Arabidopsis thaliana: one gene and its partner. The protein of the gene in region 1 interacts with the protein of each later gene in a pairwise test. Each region holds a gene or a part of one and is shown in the gene's direction. Other genes may lie near its edges.

Region 1 (6,946 bases):
CGCGCTTAATCGCGTTCAAGTGCTTGAGCAAGAGTTGACTGAGACCAAGAAGGTTAGGCAAAATTTAAACTACCAGAAATGTTCCGGACAATAACCAAATCTGGTTCTTTAACTAGAAATCGATGATTGAGTTTGGATTTATTTTTGGTTTAGGCTTTGGAAGAAGCACTTGTGAGCCAGAAGGAGATTTTGGCATACATCGAGAAAAAGAAGAAGAAGAAGAAGCTGGTAAGAACAAAACATTCACACACATCGGTTATTTAACTTCCAACACTTTTGTTTTCATTCATATATACTAACAGTGTTACATATTTTTCAGTTTTTCGGATTCTAACTAAGTGAGGAAAGAATATGAGATCATAAAGCAAGAGGCTGAATCAACCAGAGAGAGTTTGTTTGTGATTTTGTTTTTCAAATGAGGAATAGATTCAGCTTAAAAGCAACAGACTTGTACATTTATCTGAAGTGAAAACTATATTTATCTTTTTGGCTGTGACATATTGTTTGTGTGTGCATTTTCTAATTTCTCTATGAATTTTCTGTGATTTTATCCACGTGATTAAACTATATTCTACGATTGGTATTGAAGTTAAGTTTTATTATATCACCGTACCGTAAGTAACATATTAGTCCCAGAAATTATAGTTTTGTAAAGTGAAATAATATGGAGCTTACCCAAACATAAATAAGTAGGGTTTGTTGTTTGGTCATGTGATTGAGAAAGATAGAACACAAATTGAATTTTGTTTTCCTTTTTTTGCATTTGCGTTTATTACTTCCTTTAGTCCTCTCTCTTTCGTTGTCTTTCTTTTGGTAGTCCCCACACAAAGATTGTATGTACCTTCCATGATATTTACGGATCATATTTTTCCTGCAACAATATATAAAACTTTTTTCTTATTTATTTGTAACAAAAGAAAGCACCATGTCCGTCAATTTGTATAAGAAATTAGATATCTAAAAGCTAGACTTGTTGCCAAACGAATTTGGTTTCTAGTAATAACAACATTAAAAGGAGAAAAAAGGAAACACGTACGTGTAGATATATCAACCAAATCAATCTCTCGACAAGCTTTTTATATACGTGAATTATTGAAGATTTTGATTGTTAGATATAGCGAAATACACAAAGGGTTTCTTTAAAGAATATATATACACAGTTAAAACAAAAATATTCACAGAGAATCACATGAAGTCTTGAGACCATTTGTTTCCTTCGAAGGTCAAAAGATGTTCTACTGAGGTCTGTAGCCACTGTAAGAAATAATAATTGTACTTTGGGATTAAAATATCCAATTGAAACATCAAGCAAAATTGTAATCGAATGAACCGTGAACGTGTAATAAATGGACACACATGTACTTTCTCAGATTCTTTTTGAGGATTGCGGAGAGACGTTTGTCGACATTGGCGTTACATCATTATCAATGATAATGCAATTTAATTAAGAAAAAAATGATTATGCAAATTAAGATTAACGACGATGAGCGGTTGGTCTATGTCGGTTAGTTTTGTATAATGAGATTTCAAGATCCGAAGAAAATTTTGACCTTTTAAAAATTTAACCCAATTTTGTGAGAGTATCCCCGGAATTTTGGAGGTTGGCATGATTAGATATCAACTATCAAGTGTGTCGTACCATTCATGTAATTTCTTTTTTACTAATTTTGTTATATTTCTTTTTAACTGTTTTGATTTATTTATAAATAGACTAAAAAGTATGTTGAGTGAATATGTTTGGTGAAATTCATGCATCGTTTTTGGGAAGTGGGCTGGATCAGTGGATCTCTTCCACACTTTCCCAAACTAATAAAGAGAAACTGAAAATAAATAAAAAACGAAAAAAGTTAAATTATTTAATCGTAATTTAAATTTTGTAAAACAATTTTTATAACTAAAACACCATCTGTGGTAAGACGGTGGAATACATTAAGAATGTAGTATTAAATTACTACTCTACAAGTACTTAACTAATTATTATAATCCTTACATATTATCAGCATCTGAATAATTAACCCAGATTAATACGTATAAATCTTTCACAAATTGGAGAATAAGATTAGGAAATGAAAACAGCTGTATTGAGTCTGGAGAGTTCGTATCCCAACCTCACATGTCCCTCTCACCTTTTCTTCTTCTTCGGCCTACTTACACATGTTCTTCTCATTTTACTCTAAGCACAGATTCTTTTGTATTTCTTAATCTCTTTTTATTTTTATTTCAGGTTTTTTTTCATTTGATTATTCACAAATTAACTATTTTATTTAGTGTTGGTGGTAATTGATTTTTAATTAGTTTCATAGATTTCTGCAGACAAATTCTGGCTTTCATGTTTTTCTTTTTGCTTTTTTTTTTAATAATAATTCGCATTACAAATATATCATTAATTTTTCTTTCTCTTTTGTCGTTACGTGAAAATAGATTTGCTGTGTGTTTTTTTTCTCCCGACAAATATAGACTTAGAGCATTTCCATCGCGAGTTTCTGGATTCTGGTCTATTAAAACAGAACAAAAAATTCAAAAAATGTGGAGAGAAAGTAAAAACGTTTCTCACTTGAGAAACTCATTTTTGCTTTTGTTTTGTTTTGATTGGTTCAAATAATAATTAAAAAAATAAATAATAAAATAATAATAAAATTTATATTATTTTATAAAAATGGGTTTCTCACCGATGGAGATGGTCTTACTGTTTTACTGAAGAAGATTTAATAAAGTTCTCGCTTCTTTTTTCCTCTGAGCTTAACTTTTTACTTTTTGTGATAATAAAAAGAAGAAAACAAAGAAAAAGTTTTGTTTTCCTCTAAAACAAAGAATAGTTTTATCTGCAATCTTTGTAAAAGAAACTGTACTTTGTTTTTTTTTTCAATTTCTTTCCTCCTAAGAAATCACAGTACTAAACAAAACCAAAAGAAAAAAAAAAAAAATTTAGGCAGGTCAATTTTTAAGCTGGTCTGTTTTTGTGTGAGCTTTAATTTTCTGTCTTTGAAATATCTTTATCTACCACGACAGTTTATAAAATTTGAAAGGGAAATTTATTTGGTATTAGGTTTCTAAGAACTTCAATAAAGCTATATTTTCAATTACTTGTTATTAAATGCAAAAAAAAATCTAAATGGATGTTTAGGTATAACTGCAACAAAATTTATGGAAAAAACAAGACTTGATGAATGTATAATCTCAAGAGTTATTTTAAGCATAAATTTAAATCTAAATTTTCTATTTAAAATTATTTGATGAATTTTTCTATTTTTAATTATGATAAATGCAAGATTCATAGTATCTAAATTTAATACAGTATATGATTAGGCTTTTCATTAAACAATATAAATATTTTTTTTATCTTGACATAATGATGAGTAAATAATTTACCAACTAAATACATATAATTTTTGATCAATACCATTCAAAAGAAGAAAAAACACTTTCTCTTACTTATCTTTGAATTAATTTTGAAATATTTCATTAAGAAAAATTAATTGTTTAAAATATTGCTTTGATTAATGTAGACACTCTAGAAAACTTTTTAAAGGTTAGGGAAAAAATGTTACCAAAAAAAAGTTAGGAAAAAAATGTAAAAATAAAGAAAAGAATCTTCTTCCCCTAATAGAATCCAAACAAATGTATCGCTTACCATCAAGTTGCACAAACACTCAAAACGCTTTTTGATGATTTTTCTTCTATAAAATCTTTCTCCTCAACCATTTCAAAGCCCCCTCTTCTCTCCTTCTCTCCCTTTTCTCTCTCTCTCGAAGATATCGCCTTTAATTCCTTCTTCTTCTTCTGATTTCTTCAAAGATTCATTTCTTAGAGATCTCAGCTTCTGTAAGAGTAGGCTAGCTACCAAAAAAAAAGAAATAGAAAAAAACATTGATGCTTAATCAGCAGTTCTTGGTGTTTGAGACACATGTCTCCAATAATACTCAGTGAGATCTTTCTCTCTGGGTTTATGTTAAATTCCACAATCAGGCGCAGGACCCATCTTGTTCAATCTTTCTCTGTTGTCTTCCTTTACTGGCTTTACTATGTCTCATGATCTCTGAACTTATCTCCAGTTTTATATCTATACGCATAATTACAACAAAACCCTAGTTTCTTTTCAAATTTCTCTTCTTCGTTTTTCGTCATCTGGGTCCTGTCCTGTTCTGTTGTGTCTTGTTCTGTTCTGTTTTTAATTCCCCTAAAAACCCATTTTAAAATATTTTATCTCTCTTCTCTTAAAAAAAACTCTTCCCTGTTTTTGTTTGTGTGTTACTAAATGGAATCGTCGTCGTCGGGAACAACTTCGTCGACGATTCAAACGTCGTCAGGATCGGAGGAGAGTCTCATGGAGCAGAGGAAACGTAAACGGATGCTCTCAAACCGTGAATCTGCAAGGAGATCAAGAATGAAGAAACAAAAGCTCCTAGACGATCTAACGGCTCAGGTTAATCATCTGAAAAAAGAGAACACGGAGATCGTGACAAGTGTCAGCATCACAACGCAACACTACCTAACCGTTGAAGCAGAGAACTCTGTTCTCAGAGCTCAGCTTGATGAACTTAACCACAGGCTCCAATCTCTCAACGACATCATCGAGTTCCTCGACAGTAGCAACAACAACAACAACAACAACATGGGCATGTGTTCGAACCCTCTGGTTGGTTTGGAGTGTGATGATTTCTTCGTGAATCAGATGAACATGTCTTATATTATGAACCAGCCTCTCATGGCGTCTTCTGATGCTTTAATGTATTAAATGTGGACCTAAAAACCCCCTCGAAATCACAAAGAAATGGGGCCGTTTTTATTTGTCCGATTTAGAGACATGTCCAAAGAGAGAGATTTATATATAAAAATGGGTCTGTTGTTTGATTTGTTTCCATTTCAAATTTTTGTTTGTTTGGGTCCGTTTTAGGCGTTAGGTATCTCTAAGCATCATCGTTATGAGTGTGTCTGTAATAAAGGCTCTGTTGCCGCATGAGTACAAAGTGTTTTCTTAATATTGTAATATGCTTATTACTTTCTTTTTATTCTTAAGTACTAATCCCATTTTTATATAATTTCTTGAGCATTAATAGTAAAGTAATAAAATGTATCGTAGTAAGAGTTTCGCATGTAACGTACGCTCTACAGAATCATGTTTCACGCCAATCAAACATTATAGTAGGCAGATGAAATATCAATGATAAAATAGCTTGTAATTTTGGGTAATCTTCAACTCGCCAAAGTAAAATTTTAAAAAGGTGTTAATGTTGATTAAGGTGTTTTTAGTCATGAACGAGTGTGGATGATATTAGATTCAGTTTATAGATTTGGATCTATTCTTAAGAAGAAGACTTACGAAATTCAAAACTTTTAAGAATCTAGATGAATTGAGGGTTGGTAGGTTAATGTTGTAATAAGAAGAAACCTTATTTTCTTTTTGATCTGGAAAAAGATAAACAACATATAACATCTTACATAAAATCCTTTTATGTCTGAAGATCTCTCAGAATAAGAAATGAAACTGTGCAGATTCTTGTAAAATATTTTAAACTTATTTCTTGTGAATTTTGGAGATTTTTTTTGTGTGCTAGACTTATAGGTGAAATCATAGCCTCTTGTATTCTTTGCTTTTACACATCATCTTTTAATTGATTTTCTTATCTCAAATTTCTTTTTGGGATTTTAAATTTCACAGTTCCATTTATCACCAATAGATCCATATACAAGTACATCACAAAATAATGGTTATACTACATCGTGAGTAATAATGGGAATCCTATTCTACCCTTTTGGCAGAACTATACTTTTTGTTGCTGGATAGTTTGTTTTATATCCATTGATCACGGATGGTTCATTTCATAAATATTATAAATAGAAAGCCTCTTTTTATTTTATATGAAGAAGTCTTCTATTTGATAATTGCGGTATATATTTTTTACCTTTATTTCAAGTTTAGTATTCCTTCTTGAGAATATCGTACATGTGTCGACAGACTCGAGAGATTATAAAAAGGCATCTTATGTGTTTTGATCTAGCTAGGCTCTTAGGAACATTGAAAAGATATGTAATTCATTGCTTACTGTTTGTAGTTTCGAAGATAATAAAGACCCAAAACGTAAGTTAAGTGAAGGGGTTAATTATTAAAAAAAAAACTAACAGAATGTGAAGTACTAAAGGAGATAGTTGATAAAAACCAGAATATCATTTTATACTAGCTAGAGTATACGCACTAAATCACCATATGCATGGTAAAGATTTATTACAAAAAAAAAAGAAAAGAAAAAAAACACTATGCTAGAAAATCTGAAATTAGTGGGATAATAATCGTGGATAATTTTAACCAATAACATGAATTATGTAATACATTATTTATCCGATGATACACTTGTTATCATGCAAAAAAACACCTTATTCATTTTACGATTTTCCGATCATAAATTTTGTTTTAAATGATATCTTCTTCCATAAGCTTATATAGCAAATGCACCTTTTATAATAGCCGTTGTTAAAAAATTCAAAAACATAATAATTTGGAAGTGATAATCAATTATGGCAAATTTGTCATGTGCAGGGAACAATATTTGCCGGTACTTGACCTAAAAACACATGATAATTCAAAGACTTTAATAGTGGATCGCCTAATTAAATGATTTTATAACGTTTGTTAATTATCCTAGATCTACCTGAACAAACATAATTGATAATCAGTCGGTTAATTATGTATACAATATATATGCATCTAAAGAATCTAATATAAGGTTCTTTTCGTTATATAAGAGAATATATATATATATATATATATAAGTTTATTAATTATAATGGACTTTCACAAACAACTTAAAGATCTTTTGCATGACGTAATATAACAACCTATCAGCCTGAAAAACAGACAATCAAGAAGGTTGGAGGAGTCTTGGAGAAAAATATAGGAGCCACAGGACGGTCGTGAGTCAATCCATAGAGACATTTGGTTACATATATA
Region 2 (6,642 bases), on another chromosome or scaffold:
ATTTCGGAAGTGTTTTGGTAATTAATGCATTATGGGGAAATATGTATATTAATTGATATATATTGGAAAATTAAGGTATACTTAAATTTTATGTGAAAACCAAGATTATTATTATTTTTTCATCGTTCTCTTTATATATAATATATATTGCGACAAAAGAAATTATTAAAGTTGAAGAGGTTGAACAAAATAAAGAGAGGAGAAAGAGAGCGCAAATGGAGTGGAAGAAATGGTACTTAGACGCGATTCTTGTGCCCTTAGCTCTTATGATGATGATTTGTTACCACATCTACTTGTCCTTCATGGTCCGAACCAATCCCTTCTCCACCCTCCTCGGCATTAACTCTCACGGCCGCCGGATTTGGATTTCTGCTATGATCAAGGTTTTTCATAATCATCGCCATTGCATTCTTCTTATCAAAAACGTTACAGTTTTATAACAATATGATGGTATAATTTAGTCGTTATTGTCATATTTCTTAGAGATTTGATATGAGGATTAATAAGTTTAGATGGTAGAGTTGATTAGTCTTGGTTGGTCCGAAATCTTCTCATAAAAGAAAACCTATAAGCTATATTTATAATTGGAGAAATATGCAGATTGGTTATTGTTTGTTGTTTAATTTTTCAGGACAATCAGAAGACGAACATATTGGCGGTACAAACACTGCGTAACATAGTAATGGGAGCTACACTGATGGCCACGACCTGCGTGCTTCTCTGCGCGGGTCTAGCCGCAGTGTTAAGCAGCACTTACAGCATCAAGAAGCCTCTAAACGACGCCGTTTTTGGTGCTCATGGAGATTTCGCCATATCCATCAAATACCTAACAATTCTCACAATTTTCATCTTCTCCTTTTTCTTCCACTCCCTCTCCATCCGTTTCCTAAACCAAGTCGCCATTCTCGTAAACATCCCTAACTTAGACCCTAATCCTTCTGGTTGCGTCTTCCTCACGTCTGAGCACGTCAGCGAGATGTTCGAAAAGGGTATCTTTCTTAACACGGTAGGTAACAGGTTGTTCTACGCAGGCTTTTCTCTAATGTTATGGATCTTTGGTCCCATCCTCGTGTTCTTTAGCGTTTTGGTGATGGTTCTTGTTCTTTCTCACCTCGATTTCGTGTCACGCAACAACAATAAAGAAAAACTACGTATAGTGGATATACGTCGTTCCTCTGATTTTACGAATGGTGGTGAAGACTAGGAATCTAGGACGCAAGATGACTTTTTTGGTTAAAGGATGATGCTTATTGATAGTACATGACGATGATATCATAACCTCCGGATTGTTAATAAATGCACTTGGAGATTTTCTCTTGTTATGACTTATGGCCTTGCTTTTATGAACTTTTATTATTTGTGATCTTTAACCTCTAGCTTCAATCTCGTTCACGTCATACATGATCTTTTACTGGAATAATATTTTAAATCTGTAACCAGAAAGATTCTAAATATAATTACTACACTAAATATTATAGTATCAAAAATAATTTTTAAAAAAAAAAAACAAATAAAGATTCAATTGGTCCCTCAAAACTGAAACTAAAGATTCTAGTGTTTTTTATTTGGTCACATAAACTTTGATAAAATTCATTTGGTCACGAGAATTCTTGTTTTTGTCATGAATTTTAAATGAGAATTTTTGTTTGTTCTATAATACTTTTATCTACCCATGACCAAAAAATATACTAACACAGTTATATGATTTGAAAAGTAATTTCTGAAAACTAAATCACCCCAACTACTCTAGTGATCACTAGACATAGAACAACGTCTTTTTTTTGTTTCTCTTTTCCTTTGTTTATAATTCCTTTCATCTTCTTTTCTTTTTCTTTGCAAAACCTCGTTTGGAGATTACAAGTAGAGTTTGTAGAAACAGAAAAATTACTTCTTCTTTTTTTGCTAAAAGAAAACAAAAATTACTTTTGTGTTCATAAACTAATTTTCATTCATATTTTCTGTATTTTAACTTACAAATTTAGCATGTGCCTCAAGTAGAAATTCGTTTCTTACAAAAAACGTATATCAATCATCATCTAAATTACATGAAAATTTTCAACATCACTAAGGATTGAATTTTAATTGTACTAGTTACTATGGTTACTGAATTGTACTGTAGTCGGTAGATTGTAAACATTGTAGTCCACTATAGGTTCGAAAGTTCTAGTTAGTGAGAAATAATAATTTTAAAATGCTTTTGGATTCTATTTTCGGATCTAAACAACTTTTGTTTGTTTAAAGACACATTACCTAGTTTGTTTCTTTTTATTGTTTTGTTGTGAAATATTTTAACTTTTTAAAGGAAGTGCAGATCAAAAGAAAGAAAAGTTGGTTTACGCATACAAAAGTTGATGAAATAAAAAGTATTTCTGGTGCTGGAGGAAAGAAATGTCTTTTAGATCTGCTTTCCAAAAGCATATGGCGAAAAGTAAGAGTAAACAAAGGACGAAGCATTTTGTGTTGTTCGTGTGACCGGAAAATTCTTAAGTTTTTCTTTTTGGTGTTGTAGTAGTAATGAATGATAATAAATATTTTAAAGATTTTTACTACATGATACAAAGGTGTAAAAAACTGAAACAATATTATCAATATTTTTCCTTCAAATATTATCAATTATTTATGAAGATTAGTTTTTAGTGTTTTATGAAATTATATATTCGGTAAAACATTTACCGTAAAAGGTTAATTTATTCATTTTCAATGTTTTTGTAGTTTCATCATTGGACTATGCCCCTTGTATATTAATCTTAAATTAGTCGTTAAGTACTTCAAATTCGAATTCAAACAGGTTATGTAGTAGAGTAATTTATGTAAGTGTAAGGTTCTTGACATGTGCCAAGAATACAAATGTACATGAGTGACAATATTATTATCTAAATATTTTCAAATATTTAAAAGCTTATTTCGAAATATTTTAGGATCCTTTTATGAATATAAGCTGCTTATATATATGCCTATAACATTCATTTTCAAATCAAAAGCTCCAACATATTAATGAGCTGACAAACAACTTAATGTTTGAATTCAGATATGATTTATATTGAAAGAGTCTCCAGCTATCTTAGATAGTCTCCCTAGTTAAGGGATTAAAGGTTATCATTAGCATATAATTGGTACCATAATATTCACCAATACTACAGAGCCTAATATACATCTCTGTGGCTTTGCTTTTCTATTCTCTTTTGTTATTGTTGTCATTAAAGAAAAAAAAAGTTGGAAATGAGGACGTTGCATTGACAATGCAAATTCAATTTTGCTTAGCCATTAAGAAGCTTTTTCACAACTTTAGTAAAGAAGAGAGACTTATATAAAGAAGATGTCTATCACCACTTACTCTTCCCCTCTCCTCTCTTTTCCAACCAATTCTCTTCTTTCTTGTGTGTTCACATTCAAAGAAAATGGATAATCACACAGCTAAAGACATTGGTATGAAGAGAAGTGCTTCTGAGCTGGCTCTACAAGAGTATCTCACTACAAGCCCTCTAGACCCTTGTTTCGACCTCATGAACCGGGTTAGTCCTTTTGTTGTCTCTCTTATTCGTATCATTGTTGCTTGTGTCTATATCAAGATCCAGAGATATTGTAGTAATTAAGAGTCTAGTTTCTTTTGGTTGTAGGATTACACTTGTGAGTTAAGAGATAGTCTTTTGTGGTCTGAGGGATTGTTTCCGGCTGGACCTTTTCGCGATGCACAGTCCTCAATCTGCGGTATGTGCATGTCTCTTTGATTTGACTCCATGTAAGTAATAAGTGTTGTTGCAGTTGATATTAATGTTCACTACTTGTGTGGCTCTTATCTACAAAGAGAATCTGTCAGCTGATAGTCCAGTGTCAGCCAATAAACCTGAGGTAAGAGGAGGAGTTAGGAGAACCACAAGTGGATCTTCTCATGTTAACTCTGATGACGAAGATGCCGAGACAGAAGCAGGGCAATCTGAAATGACTAATGATCCCAATGATCTGAAACGTATTAGAAGGTATGTTAGGTACCAATAAAAAAGTTAGATGTAAAACACTGAGATAGAGAATCACCAATTCTTCTTAATCTTTTTCTGTGATGTGAATTCAGGATGAACTCAAACAGGGAATCAGCAAAGAGGTCGAGGAGAAGGAAGCAAGAGTACTTGGTAGATCTTGAGACTCAGGTAAGGTTAACAAATAGCTTGTTGGATGATTTGTATCAGAGAGTAATGTTTTAATGGTGACCTTGTGTTTTCTTCAAGGTTGATTCTTTGAAAGGCGATAACTCAACACTGTACAAGCAGCTCATAGACGCAACACAACAGTTTCGTAGCGCTGGAACAAATAACAGAGTTCTCAAATCAGATGTTGAAACTCTGAGAGTCAAGGTATCATCTATCACTTGCTCTTTTCAATTTGGGAAAGTAATAACCGGAATGTGCTAAGTTAAGTAAATTCTATATAGGTGAAACTAGCAGAAGATTTGGTAGCGAGAGGGTCACTCACTAGCAGCTTGAATCAACTTCTACAAACTCATCTAAGTCCACCATCACACTCCATCAGCAGTCTGCACTACACGGGAAATACCTCGCCCGCCATTACAGTCCACAGTGACCAATCTTTGTTCCCTGGAATGACACTTTCTGGACAGAACTCAAGCCCTGGACTTGGTAATGTATCCAGTGAAGCTGTTAGCTGCGTCTCAGACATCTGGCCATGACTCTCTTTCTTCAGAACATGTAATGATCACTCAGCGAATTTCCTGTATGTGTTTCGCTATAGAACTAGAAACATATAATGAAAGCAGCATGTTCGTTAAATAAACTCAAGTTTCGTCAACATATACTTAATTGCTCCAAATCCTGCAGATTGTAATCTGGAAACTGAAGCATGTATAGGCCAATAAATTACATTCTCCAAGGAAATTGCTTAAATGTGTTCGCTTAAGTAAGTATACAGACAAACAAACAAAAACACTGATCCATTACACTTTACTTTCCAGCAATTTCTATTAGCTATTTAAGGCGACAGCTATGCATGTTGTAACATGAGCAGACAAAACTTACGTCGAAAACCAACCTCAGTTGATTAGAGGCGTACCCATCTGCGAATCTGCACCTATATCAGTTGCGAAGTCCTTAGGCAATGGGATATTTAATTCCGAGCAAACAAGCTTCACAATATTAGCCGTTACACCTCCCATAGACATCTTGTTCAGTGTTACTGCAATGGAAAATCTGTTGTTGATGTCACAGAAGCCTGTTGATCCTCCTAACCCTGAATGTCCAAAGCCAACCAGAGACCCATCTTGAGAAATGGCGCGCTTAAAACCAAGCCCAAACTTTCCATCAGGCACTACTAAGCCACTGTAGTCTCCAGCACCCATGAAAGCATCATGGATCCTCGGGTTGCTAAACATATTATGAATATCATGTTGATGATCATCGCTATTGATCTCAGTTTTGCCAGCAGAACTGTTAGTATCAACTAGCCTGGCTAAACTTTCTGTATTTGACTCTCTGCTGCTACTAGCACTCATAAACTGTTTCTCATCATAAAGCTTCCTCTCTTGATGATCTTTTGATTTACCCTTTTCTGTAGCTGCCATCTCCTTACCCTTTTTCTTTTTTGTTGTGTCTTTCAACGACGTGAATTTCGGAACATGGGTGTGGCTACCTAGTGGTGGCTGGGATAAAGAGGAATGTGGAGGTGGCACTAGGCCACCATCTGCTAGGGTTGCATAGTACCTTGCAAGTGCACGAGCAGAGCAATGTCCATTAGCCGCAGGGATTATGGCTCTGCGCACATTCAATGTGTTAAATAAGACTGGCAAGTTGGTTGCCATTTGTATGATCTTGTCAGGCTGAAATGTGGAAGGAAGCTCAGGTTGGCTGGCAATGGACGAAAGCTTGCTCATTTCATCAGTGTCGAACGTCAATGTGGCAAGCCTAGATTCAACACCTATAATTAAGATGTTAGATAATTATTAATAACGCTCATAGCGTAATTTACTAATTCACAATGTCTGTGACTGTTACTATTTACCTGGGGGGATTCCAATGTACAGTTCTCCATCAATATTTAGGGGTTTAACAATGGACTCTTCAAGGATCTCCTGGAGTTTCTTTCCAGAAGCATACTGTTCAAGATTGATGAAAGCAAGATTGGCATTAACGTAGTAGAGGTAAGAGAAAAAATTACAACTTGACGACTTGCATAGTTTTTATGCTTAAACAATGAATGATATAATTAGTTTACCTCGAGGATTCCACCACATAGCCATCCAAACGTGAGATAGTGATAGGACTGCTGACTGCCAGGCTCTGTTTCAGGTGATGAATTAGCAATCCGTTTCAAACATTCATCCCAGTCACAAATAAGCAGAGGATTTTCTCCTACAGGGTCAAAGGAATTTTGCATCCCAGATGTATGGTTAAGCACATGATGGACCTGAAATACAAAACCGAGGTATTAAAATGAAGGGCAATAGATTGCGAAATGGTTAAGTGACAGTGTAGCTCCTTATACCTTTATGGTATCTTTTCCATTTGATCCGAACCCTGGCCACATATTTGCCACAGTCTGGTCGAGCTGGAGTTTCCTGTATCATTGAATAAATATTACTAAATATGACTAAGCATGTGTTCTGCAAATGGGATCATGGAATTAACAATGAGACCA

Evidence for each region. The genes of interacting proteins can lie anywhere in the genome.
Region 2: the proteins of GBF6 (region 1) and BZIP9 interact in binary tests that used the Arabidopsis thaliana proteins (3 or more experiments, as listed by UniProt).

What each region holds. Positions count from the first base shown.
Region 1 is NC_003075.7:16,518,194-16,525,139, forward strand, and holds GBF6 (G-box binding factor 6), read left to right. Parts: upstream 1-3,667; 5' UTR 3,668-4,255; coding exon 4,256-4,735; 3' UTR 4,736-5,037; downstream 5,038-6,946. Other genes in the region: COW1 (Sec14p-like phosphatidylinositol transfer family protein), read left to right, coding at 1-52, 154-228, 320-334. UniProt on the Arabidopsis thaliana protein: Transcription factor that binds to the DNA sequence 5'-ACTCAT-3' in target gene promoters. Promotes POX1/PRODH1 expression in response to hypoosmolarity stress.
Region 2 is NC_003076.8:8,511,861-8,518,502, forward strand, and holds BZIP9 (basic leucine zipper 9), read left to right. Parts: upstream 1-3,339; 5' UTR 3,340-3,398; coding exon 3,399-3,512; intron 3,513-3,617; coding exon 3,618-3,708; intron 3,709-3,805; coding exon 3,806-3,977; intron 3,978-4,069; coding exon 4,070-4,145; intron 4,146-4,223; coding exon 4,224-4,349; intron 4,350-4,426; coding exon 4,427-4,681; 3' UTR 4,682-4,809; downstream 4,810-6,642. Other genes in the region: AT5G24790 (transmembrane protein, putative (Protein of unknown function, DUF599)), read left to right, coding at 216-383, 632-1,204; AT5G24810 (ABC1 family protein), read right to left, coding at 5,042-5,922, 6,007-6,100, 6,220-6,411, 6,490-6,562. UniProt on the Arabidopsis thaliana protein: Transcription factor.